Linked DNA regions of Coturnix japonica. The protein of the gene in region 3 interacts with the protein of the main gene of each other region in a pairwise test. Links are inferred from orthologs where the notes say so. Each region holds a gene or a part of one and is shown on either strand. Other genes may lie near its edges.

Region 1 (3,652 bases), on a different chromosome or scaffold from region 3:
TACAATTCTGTGATTCTGTGATCATCACAGAACTCTCTTATGTATTATTTTGACTTTAATTACGCTGTGGACAACGGATTTTCCTGATATGTCTTCAGTCACATTGGCAACTTGGAAATGAATCCGTTCCACACAGTGTGGCAGCGAGTATTCAAAAAATACTTAGAAAAAAATACCAAACCATACTCAGGTTCTCAAAGTCTGGTAATTTTTTCAGGACTTTCCAAGTATGTAATATCTGAGTTGCTTCCCTCAGCCCACCAATCCATCTATCACAGAAAGGCAGAAAGAGATACGAGGGCTGACTTGATGATATTTTCATCAGGTTGCTTTGCCTGAGGAAGTGAAATAGCCCACATTCCTTTATGGCACCGAGTACTGAATAAAAGTATCAGTAACTTACAACAATATTATTTATTCGTATTGAGTTAATTTAGTTAAGATCCAGGCTTTATTGCTTCTTTTGAGACAATGGAGGTAAGACATCTAATTCTTTTGTCTGAACCTCTCACATGCATTTGGCAGTACCAGTATGATGAGGCTGGTCCAAGAGTAGATTGCTACCCAGTGAAAAATTCAGCTCCAACTTGACTTCATCTTCTGCCCCTGCTACCTTTTTTGGGGACATTATTTATGAAGGGATCTTCAGAAGCTGGATAGAAAGCTGCATAAACTTGCCAAGAGTGGAAGGATGGGTAAGGAGGTAGGGTGTATGTGGTGTGGCTGGCCAGAGCAAGAGTGGTGCCCTGGATATAGGATCATCAGATTTGGAGTCATGGCACCATCAGCCAGAAACCTTTCATAAGACATCAAGACTGAGTACAGCCTGGAGGTTAGAATGCAGATCTCATCACACTAGATAGCACTGTTTTTGGTACTACACTGCAATGCAATGTTGAAAGAACAGAAAAAAATCATAGAATTATAATTGCTGAACTGCTAATCAGGAGATTGCCTGAGGCCTATCTATCAAATTATAAGTATTTTTGAGGATACATATTTCACCTGTATTCCTGCATCAAATTTTGGCCAGCTTTGTGGTTTACAAAATACTCTTCTTATATCATACAAAGAATATCATACAAGATAGCAATTAAAAGGAAACATGAAATCCAACTGAGAAAATATATGTCAATCTTCCTGATAAGAGGCTAATGTCAGATATTAAGAGAGATACATAGGATGCATGCTCAAATACCATCAAAGAAAGAGAGTGCCCATTCAGATAACCTCTCTCATCTAAACAAAAGAGATAAAAACCCTCTGTGATTCACAACATTATTTTTCTGATGGAATGACACAAAAAAAAATAGTGACACCTATTGTATGTTTTGTATCATTTGAAACACAAAGACACTGAAGTGAATGTTTTTCCTATGAACAATACACACTATTTGAGTGATAAATATGTCTATCACAAATCAAAGCTAGTTCTTGTTTTAAGCATAACGAAACAGCAAAATATCCTGTTTTGTTGGAGCTTCTGTGAAGAAAATGGGGAAAAAGCTATATGTAAGCTGCCGTGAAAGAACAGGTGGCAGAATAGAGTGCCTGCCAGGATGACACACTCTCTTCTGTAAACATTGACTGCAGACAGTTTCCTCTAAAAGGCAGATTCACTAGCTCTAATCCCACAGTAGGTATACTAGATTGATATTCAGTTCCTACAAGTAAATTAGGATAGAACAGCTATAATGTCTGGTGACTGTTTTGTTCATGTTTATATATATACTTAAACTGAAACTAGCATAAACACTGAGAAACTTACAGAAGACATCTCCTCTAAGGCTTTGCTCATGGTCAATCTGATTCTCATAATCTTCCTTCTCTTCCTCACTTGTCTCATCAACTTCCTCTTCTATGGTAACTTCAGTTTTTTTCTCTCCCACAGTGTAACTCCCACCAAGATCAAAACCGCCTTCGTAGTCCAATGACTGCAAGTGGGTCTTAGAAGCTGGTGTCATGGCTGCTTCTGGGATCACATTCTTGATTGCTTTATGCTTTGTCACACTGCTTTTATGTGCAATAAGTTTCTTAATCGTGTCCTTAGCTGTTCCGGGGATTCTTGGAATTTCCTTCACTGATTTTTCAGGGACAGCTAGAAACCAGAAGAAAATAGTAAATATTCACCTAATGAATCATTCAGCAAACATGTTTATAAATGCCCTTGATAATACCCAGAGACTCATACACCTAAATTCTCTACCATGAGACATAAGTTCACCTCTGTACTGTACTATGTATGCTTTTACCTCTGCTGTACAGACAGCTTTCTGGTTTAGAACTGTAGAAGGACAAAATGGTATGGGTTGTAAAAAAGCTTTAAAGACCATTTAATTCTAGCTCCTTTGATACATTAGACTGGGTTACTCAACTCGGCCTTGAGTGCCTCCAGGAATGGGGCATCCGCAGCTTCCCTGGGCAGCTGTGCCATCACCTCACCACTCTCCTAGTAAAGAATTTACTGTGAGTTATAGTGAAAACACAAAATTGACCCTCTCTTACAACCTCAGCTGGCCTCATGTGTAACATAGGCCACACAGCTGCTTATATTCAACATTTATATACAAGAGATCGGAGGGAAAAAATAACTTCCGTCATTTTGTGGACTACTAAAAATTGTCCACAATGTGACTCCCTACAAAACAAATGTCATCCTACTAGCAGTGAGAATTTTCCTTAGACATCTTTTGTGAACTCTGTCCTAACATCCCTTTTACTGCAGGCTGAAAAACACTGAAATAAAGCATATTTTGAGGTGAGATATATCAAGCCAATACATCACATCTCATTTAGTTCTAAAGGATAAAACACTAAAACTTCAGAGAGGTACCCAAGAATTCCAAAATATTATCTTGAAATTGCAACTTGGACTAGAACATAAATACACAATTTCCTAAGATTTTTACTATTTTATGATTCCTTTTGACTGACAAATACTAAAACGATATCTAGCCTTGTGGTAGCTTGCAACTTCTGATCCTGCTCAGAAACACATAGGTCAGAACTGAAAAACTTCGAGTGGAGTAAAAGTCAACCAAGATTGTTCAAATCTGTAAAATAAAAGACATAAATCTGAATGTGTGGGTTTTCCCCATTTTTTGATCCATAATAGAGCATAATGAAGTCAAATATTGTCTACAACCAGACAGAAAACTTCAGAACACTTAGCGATAAGAGGACATTTTTCTATTTACTTAGCAGCCATGATTTTCACATTATGCTTTTTTTCTTAATATATTGTGTCTCAAGACAAAAGCCTTTTGTTTCTTTTCAAATTCAATTATTCTCTCCACAGTCATCAAACTATGTTGGGATGCTTGAATGAGGGACTATTTTTAATAGAACCCCATTTGAAGATACAATTCCATTGATGCAGGGAGGCAGAATTGATTTTCCAGCACCAATGAAACCCAGAAGCAGTGCAAAGGGCTCCTTTTGGGTGGTCCCGTGTGGAGCCAGGAGATCAACTCAATGATCATCATGGGTCTCTTCCAGCTTGGGATAGTCTATGATTCACTGTTACTTTTTTCTGTATGTTTCTTTTCACATAAGTAAAGAGAAAAGAAGAAAACCACCACTTAATGAAACAAAGCTGTAGTCTAGTAGGAAAAGAGGAAAAATCCCAGAACTGATATGAATTGCCGGATAA
Region 2 (3,652 bases), on a different chromosome or scaffold from region 3:
ATGCCTGAAATTCTCCATGACATGCTGAAACCACTGCCTTTTCCTGTCATTTGGTATGAATTCACCACAGTGAAATATCAGAATGGACAAGTCTGTTTCATTACAGATAATACAGGGCCAAGCAGAGGTGTACAAGTCAGCACGAGTGCCAAAACCAGCAAGTGACTGTTTACACAAGATTCCTAACCTAATCAGCCCCACTGAAAAAGCACAGTTTCAATGAGTAAATTGCTACTGTAACAAAATATGTACATCATTTAAATAAAAATACTATTCACAGTGTATGCAAGTACCTAGTGTTCACACCATGACCTTCTCGCTCATTAGCATTTCTCTGAACAGCAGTATATTTTTCTTCTTCACTTCTTTCATCATTTTCCAAGGCAACCCGAGCTTTGTATTGGGCACTTGATTCAATTTCCTCTGCTAATTGAGTTGCTCTGGCTTCCCGTTTCAAAAACTCTTCTGAATTATCTCTTTCTAATGGCACCCTGAAAAACAATGGAAGAAAAAGAACATCTGAAATGAATTCAAAAGTACAAAGAACATACAAAATTATATAGAATTAATTCTAGACGGGTCAAATTAAAAATAAGAAAAAAAGAAAGAAAACACACACAAAAAAAATGCTTTTAAGACAGTTTATTTGCTATATTAGCAATATTCCTGCACTGGTTTGACATTATGTACCAGTGCCATTTACCTGCCTAGAGAACCGAGGTCAGGATGCACAGCTTTACCATATGACTGGCAGACTCCCCAGTCCCTAAAGCTATGCAAAGTCTTCAACTTTTAACAGGGTTGAGCACATTAGCAACAAAAAGGCCTTAGCCCATTATTTAGATAGGAAGGTAATTCAAGAGACCAAATTTGAATTTCTTTAGCAATTTACACATTCACAATAGATGTAAGAGTCCCCAGCACTACTGAAGTTAAGAGTTACAAACTTAATCCTCTGATAATTCCAGTCACGGAATTTCAGTTCTTCCAGTGATAGTAACTGCAGAAAAGATGAATGCAGTACTTTAGACCAGAAACCCAAGACTCAATTGCCATGTCCTGGAACCTCAAAACCATTCATTCTATGTATTATGATATTAGGTAATACCACACTGCAGCAAGCAAACGTAACCCTTTTGGGAAAGCCACTCGATACACGAGCAATGAATTACTAAAATAATGAACTACAGAAGGACAACACAACTGAGCTGACACTTCCTCCTGTCCATCTGTCATTGCTGTTTTTCACCTGTTCTAATTTTTGTGTCAGGTTTTATGAAATAACTTTCTTCATTGACTTTACTTTAGAATAAGCTATGTAGAGATGAGACTCTGACAATGCAATCTTTGGTATTAGATAATCAGTACTGCACACATTTGGGATAATACAAACAAATAACAAAGGATGTAGTTGGAAAGACAGCCCAAGAAAGAAATAATATATGCAAGATTACTCAAGTATTGGTGGCAGGGCTATGAAAGCAAATGGCTTTGCCAAATTGTACCATGTAGCTCTGCTACTACAGCAAAAGTCTCCCCTCCTCACACACAGTTTTGGCCAGCTGCTGCCATTATCAATGGTGACTGAGAGGATGAAAGAGAAAGCATGGCCTCCTGCACAAAGCTCTGGCTCACAAATAAGATACGTGTGAGCACAGCAGCCATCAACACAGCCAAGGAGTGCACTTGCTAGGACAAAGCTTGTGCCCTTATGCAAACTGACAAACTATACCTGCTAATGCTTAGCTCTGGGAAGATAAAATGAACAGTAAACCCTGTACAATCCCCCTCAAGTGCACAGGTAAGCATTTAGCTGGACCACTGCTCATCATATGCTTGGAAAATCAGAATAAAGTGTCCCAGCTAAAGCAACAAAATGCAAAGCAAGTTCCTTGACTAGCAAATAATGGAATTTGTCTTCAGCAATTTAAAGCCACCTTCATGTTCTTAATTTGTGTTCATTTATACCCATAAAACAGAAAGATCACAGACTAAAGTTCAGAAGTACAAAGAGTACTTTGGAATACTTCACTGCTCTAGGAATAGCTTCCCTAGGATGCAGACATAAGCCAATTAAGCTTTTGTTAAAATACATCTATAACGTGGCAATAGAAAGAAAATGTTGAACAAGGGATGTGCAGACAAAAAAAAAAGAAAAAAGAAAATTAAAATAATCACTGCAATTCCTGAACATTCACAACCAAGTTTTAAACTTTGTGGGTAAAATGAGTGGGAAAATAAAGACATTTCACGATGGCTGTTCAACATCTGCAACCAGTTTGTGTTGTAGCTGCACGAACACTATAGCTGCAGACTACTGGGAATGAGTCCAGGCTGCCAAAGTAAGCACAGCAGACTTCATACTTCTTCTTCTATACTCAAGTTGTTGTTATATTGTAACTAAAACTTCAGGTCTGCACAAGCCTGTTAAACAAGTTATCCACAGTACAAACCCCCTTGAAATATCAGCAGCGTTTCAATACTCCAATACCTACATTATGAATAATCACAATAAAATTAGGATTTAATCAGACTGTTCTGCTGGGTTAAACACAAACTACACATATGGCAGCTACATAAAGAGACATTATAGTTTCACAGTTTGTATTTTTCACTCTACTTGTAAAAGTTTTTCTAAGAATTAAGCATTATTGCACGCCTAAATTCAGAAAATGTTGCAATGGGAATGAACTGTGCCCATTTAAGGGAATATATACAGATTGCTACACAAACTATTCACAGAAATCTGGCAAGGTTTCTTAAGCACAATTCATCCATTATTATCTTTTTTTTTTTTTTTCAGTTATTTGATTCCACAACCTTAGAAAGTATATAAACTTATCTTGAGAATACGAATTTTGTCACACCAGGGACAACATTAAATACAAATCTAATAAGAAAATATTTTGGAACTTACGTATAAGAAGATAAACTGCTGTCATATGTTGATATTACACCATAATTTTCTTCATTGTAACGAAACATGTCGTTGGGATCCCATCCGTTAGACTAGAAGAAAATGATGCGTGTTTTTCAAGATGTCATTGGAAACACATTCCCTTAAAGCCAAGGGCTGGTAATAGGAGTCAAACCTTTTGCTCTTTTGCCTTGGCTTACAAACTCACTGTTTATATCAGAAAGCTAGCAGAGCCACAGTTTATTTCAGGGGTCTTTGTTCATCAGATGTATGTACTTTATCCTGAAAAGCCACGTTGGTTTCTTTTTTGTTGTGTGGTTGGTTGGTTTCTGTTTTTTAAAGCACCATGCCCATACTGGACTAGTTAATGGCTAACAAGCACTACACAATTCTGAACGTTAGGAGCGGCCCTTGCTATGACAAGCACTGATACTTCCCAAAAGCATTATTATCTGAGATACATGCTGCAGGCAGAAGACCCCTGGTGATCAGGGCAACTTCCCAACTTTATGAAGTATGTTATTACAGCACTCAAGGCTTTAGCCTTCACAAATGCTTTGAAAGTTTCATGAAAGCACTGACAGTATTAAGTACTCCAACAAATCTCAGCTGTACAGTACATACACCAAAACTGACAGGGGAACTGTTCCACCAAGACAAAGTTAAGATTCCCCACCATAACTTGACTCCATTCTTGCCTTTAACACACTGCAGCAAATACCTTGCTAAGAAGAA
Region 3 (4,256 bases):
ATGCTCTGTGGGTAATACACATAAATGTGTAATGTAGCCTGTTCTGTACTTCAACATTTGTCAGCCTCATTTCTTGTAATTTTGAAGGAATTTTATGATTACAGACTCACTTTTGTTTTCACAAACTCAGGAATATTTGTTCTAAACTTTATGATGTTTCACAGAGGTAAAACCATCCATGTTTTTTTTTGTCTAAAATCCAAATGGGGTGAATATGCCATTCACTCCATATGGAGCAAAGCTACCACCTGCTTCCCAATGATGTACTCCTGAAGCAGTTAGTGCAAGGAATTTGACAGACATTAAGGTCTTCAATATGATTTCTGTTGTGAAGTGGCATTATTTAATGCAGGTGAGCCTGACCTTTCACAAGTCAAATATGTATTTATATATATATATATAAAATCAAAACACTTGCTTAGCAATTAAACAATCTAGACATAGGAGTCATACTATTTCAATTTCTGCCAGGGACTTATTGCCGAAATAGCATTTTTTTAACATTTAAATAGTGAGACAAATCTTTCACAACTGAAAGAGTATTCTGTAATAATAACATTGTATACTCACAATGCACTCGTGTGTAAAAGGACTACTAATTTTACAACATAAAAGGATGAAAGAAACTAAGCCAAAGACTTCCAAATGCTTTACTGAATTAAAAGGAGCATCAGAAATAACTTGAAATTGTTACAGGTGTGACTTAGGACTGCAGTACAACTGTGCATCATACACAAGTTCTTACATGTCTAAGAATGATGGGAAAGATTCAGAGTCTTTAAAACTTCCAGTTTGTTTCATCCCATCTGGGAATCTCCATTCACAGTGGCAATGCCTATCCATACTCTGCCTGGGGATCAATCCATTATCAGAAGGATTCTCCCAGGGGTAAGGACAGCACAACCAAGGCCTGGATTTCTCACTCATGCTTAAAACAAGCCAATAAACAGATCTGTCTTGCAACCTACTTGTGAGTCATTCTCATACATGAATGTGTCTTCATGCCCTGCATACAAACAGTCTGTGAAAGTCACGGCTGGGCCCAAAAATCCCTGGGTCATTTGATAGCAGGCTGCTAAATCTGGCATCAGCAATATACTATTTTGGCTCCAGCCAGCTAAAACTTTTCTTTCCTTCTACATGGCAATACTGCTGACAGTCCATGTGAGCATGTCATCTGAAGGACAGAACAGCACTCACAGACCATTCTCCCTCTAAAAGGGATGTGCACCCTGCTGCTGCAGAGGCACATTCATTAACTTACAATAATGGTGAACTGAGGCACGCTACTAGAAAGTAAACTTCAGATTGCCTATTTCTTAACTCTGGATGACACAGATCCTGCAATTCTTACTTATCAGTGTGAGAACTCAAATAGCAGTGATGATTTCTGGGCTTGATATAGGTAGCAGAGAGTGATAAAATGAAGTAGCAGCAGCAGATGGACACTACAGTATGGGCTCAGGCACACTTAAAAACTCCTTACTGCATCTGTCATGAGAACAGCAGGTTTCTGTGAAGTCTGTTTTACCAATGATGCAATGTAATTTGTTATGAAAGGTGAGACACAATGTCACCCTGCTCCTGCACGGGCCTGTGGAGGACTTGGCACATCCCACCGCATTTCTAGTCAGAATGGGTATGGTATAATTGCAAAGACAGCAAGAACTAAAGTTGGGACTAATTCTTGTGTAAGGGTTCATTCCTTTAGGTGCATCTCTCCACATTGCAGCAACAGATGAGATGAAAGAGAAGAGATGGATGAGAAAGGAAAAAGCGTAGGTGTTGAAAAGCCTAATGGCTGCTGTATCTGCAAGTCTGCACCTAGGGGCTGCTTACAGCAACATACACTGCTACCTGAAGATGTAATGACAGTCAGTGAAAATTACCAGGAGTTCTGTGCTCACTTGCAAAGAAAATAATGGAGCTTCACGCAAGACTTGGACTACAGTCTGTAAATTCAGATAAATTTCCCAGGCTTCTACAAAACCATTTTGGATTCATCCCCAGAACACACCAAGTCTGAGCCCAATTCAGGAACTGTACCCTTACAGACTACAACATACAGACTCTGCATTATGAAACAAATCGCAGCCGGGTGAAACACCCACCCTGACCTCCTTGCAATAACACACCATGCCTAAAGCAACACGACCAAATCTCATTATTCAGATTTTGTCTGTAACCTAAGTGGGTTGGGGGGTGGTGAAGGGAGGGTAGTTGGGGGGGGGGTTTAAAAATAATTTAAAAGGTCTGATTCAGAAAGCCAACCTAAAACCGTTCTGATGGAGAACCAGTGCACAGACCGCAGAACGGGTCCGACGCCCACGCGGGCACCTGCCCCAGCAGCCGCTGCGCCAGTCAGTCCCTGCGAGACCGGCACCCGGTGCGGCTGGGGCGGCGGAGCAGCCTGCGGTGCTCTCATTCATGCCCGTGTATTCTCACGCACCGCGCACACACACACACCACGCACACCCGTGCACGCACGCACCCGTGCACACTCACACCACGCGCACCCATGCACACGCGCAGCCCACGAGCGCCCGTGCAATCGGATGCGGGCTGGGCAGCCGGACTGAGTCCAGCGCCGCGCATCGGACTGCGCCACGCTGCCGCGCTCCACGCACCCGCGCACGGCCCCAGCGGCGCGGGGGGGACCGAGGCGGTACCTGGGTCGCTTTATGGAACTGCTTCTTGAGCCCGGCCACCGACATGGCGAGGGCGGTGCGATGCAGACGAGAGGAGCCGAGCGGAACCGAGCGGCGCCGAGGAGCGATGGGGCTGGTCCCGCCGCCGAGGAGCTGCTGCTGCCGCTGCCCGCTGCTCGCAGCCCCGCACGCCCGGCGATGGGAGGTGTCAGGCGGCGGCCGCGCTGCGGGGGGGCCCTGACGTCAGGGCTGGCCGCACCGCCTCCCCGCGCAGCCCCGGGCCGCCCCCGCCTCGCCCCCGGCCCCGGCGGCGCTGAACGAGAGCAGCCTTGGCGCGGGCGGAGGCGGCGCTGCGGGACCCCGCCGGCATCCTAAGGGCCACTGCCGACGGTCCCTCCTGAGCAGTGTGGACCTCATCCCGTGCAGCCCCACGGGGACGCCGTTCAACCCGCCTCGACTGGGACGGTGGGCAGTGATGGACAGATAGACCTGGGGCCGGGGGATGCGGGTGTCGGCATGCCGTTTCTTCAGGCCTAGCTGGTCTCAGTGGGATGATGCCAGCTCTGCCTCCTTGTTGGCCCTCAGTATGTGTGTTCTTCTCCCCTTGCAATGCCAGTGACACACGGGCAGCCAAACATACAGCCTGCCCCACTGCTGGCACACTGGTGTGGCTGTTGGCTTGAAGGTAAAGAGCCTCAAACCCAAATAAATGTCAATAATGTGTGCTTTAGCAATTTGGTCAGATGTGCTATAAACACTAGCAGAACAGTAATTAGCAGTAATTATGAGGCTCTGCCAGGAAAAGCCTAAACAATGCAAGCAGTGTGACCCAAATGTAACAGCTCTTCTCTGCAGGCTGGGCCAGTCGCTGTGGATGTGTGCTGCATCTCAGCGCAGCTGGGATGAAAGCTTGCATCTGCTGAAAGCAGCCATGCTGCGCTGGCAGATCCATCCCCACTAACATCCCACAGCAGCTAGGTAGCACAGATCACAGGAGATGGGATGGAAACATTCTGAGAGATACCTGGAGCTGTTTTTAATCTGCATGTGGACTTACTGTGGTGTAGCACACATGCTTGGTGCACTTAAAGAAAACAGGCACTGTGAGGGCCCACATATCACCTCATACCATGAGGTATAGAATCATAGAATTACCCAGGTTGGAAAAGACCTCGAAGATCATCAAGTATGGGTCAGTGGTGACATCACAGCACCCAACTTTGAAGCACAGTTCTGAAAGGGACTGCAGCAGGAGAAAGGACTGTGAATGCAAATCACATTGGTGCTTTCAGAAGTATCACCAGCGTTGCTCAGCATGGAGAGTGGCAAAGAACATCTCTCTGCTTGTGGGGAGCAGACTGGAAGAGCATAATGGCTTCCTCGTGGGCACAGTAGGAGGCATTTGTTTCCGATCTAGTCCTGCACCAACATCAGAACACATCCATTCATTTTAGTTTTAGTATTAGCTTAGAGGATGAACACTGAGATGATATGGAGTGGAAGGAAGTTTCTTGTGCTAGTCATGGAATCATAGAAGATCCCAAGCTGGAAGGGACCCACAAGGATCATCAAGTCCAACTCCTGGCTCCACGCACATCCAAAATTCAG

Evidence for each region.
Region 1: the proteins of SH3GL2 (region 3) and EGFL6 interact in a two-hybrid assay, tested with the Homo sapiens proteins (2 studies listed by BioGRID and IntAct). The link is inferred for Coturnix japonica from reciprocal best matches to the Homo sapiens genes SH3GL2 and EGFL6.
Region 2: the proteins of SH3GL2 (region 3) and ATXN2 interact in binary tests that used the Homo sapiens proteins (3 or more experiments, as listed by UniProt). The link is inferred for Coturnix japonica from reciprocal best matches to the Homo sapiens genes SH3GL2 and ATXN2.

The regions. Positions count from the first base shown.
Region 1 is NC_029516.1:110,857,758-110,861,409, forward strand, and holds part of EGFL6 (epidermal growth factor-like protein 6), read right to left. Parts: intron 2,099-3,652; coding exon 1,769-2,098; intron 1-1,768.
Region 2 is NC_029530.1:5,325,773-5,329,424, forward strand, and holds part of ATXN2 (ataxin-2), read right to left. Parts: intron 3,010-3,652; coding exon 2,918-3,009; intron 492-2,917; coding exon 294-491; intron 1-293. UniProt on the Homo sapiens protein: Involved in EGFR trafficking, acting as negative regulator of endocytic EGFR internalization at the plasma membrane.
Region 3 is NC_029547.1:29,706,914-29,711,169, reverse strand, and holds the start of SH3GL2 (endophilin-A1), read right to left. Parts: upstream 2,861-4,256; 5' UTR 2,715-2,860; coding exon 2,670-2,714; intron 1-2,669. UniProt on the Homo sapiens protein: Implicated in synaptic vesicle endocytosis. May recruit other proteins to membranes with high curvature. Required for BDNF-dependent dendrite outgrowth.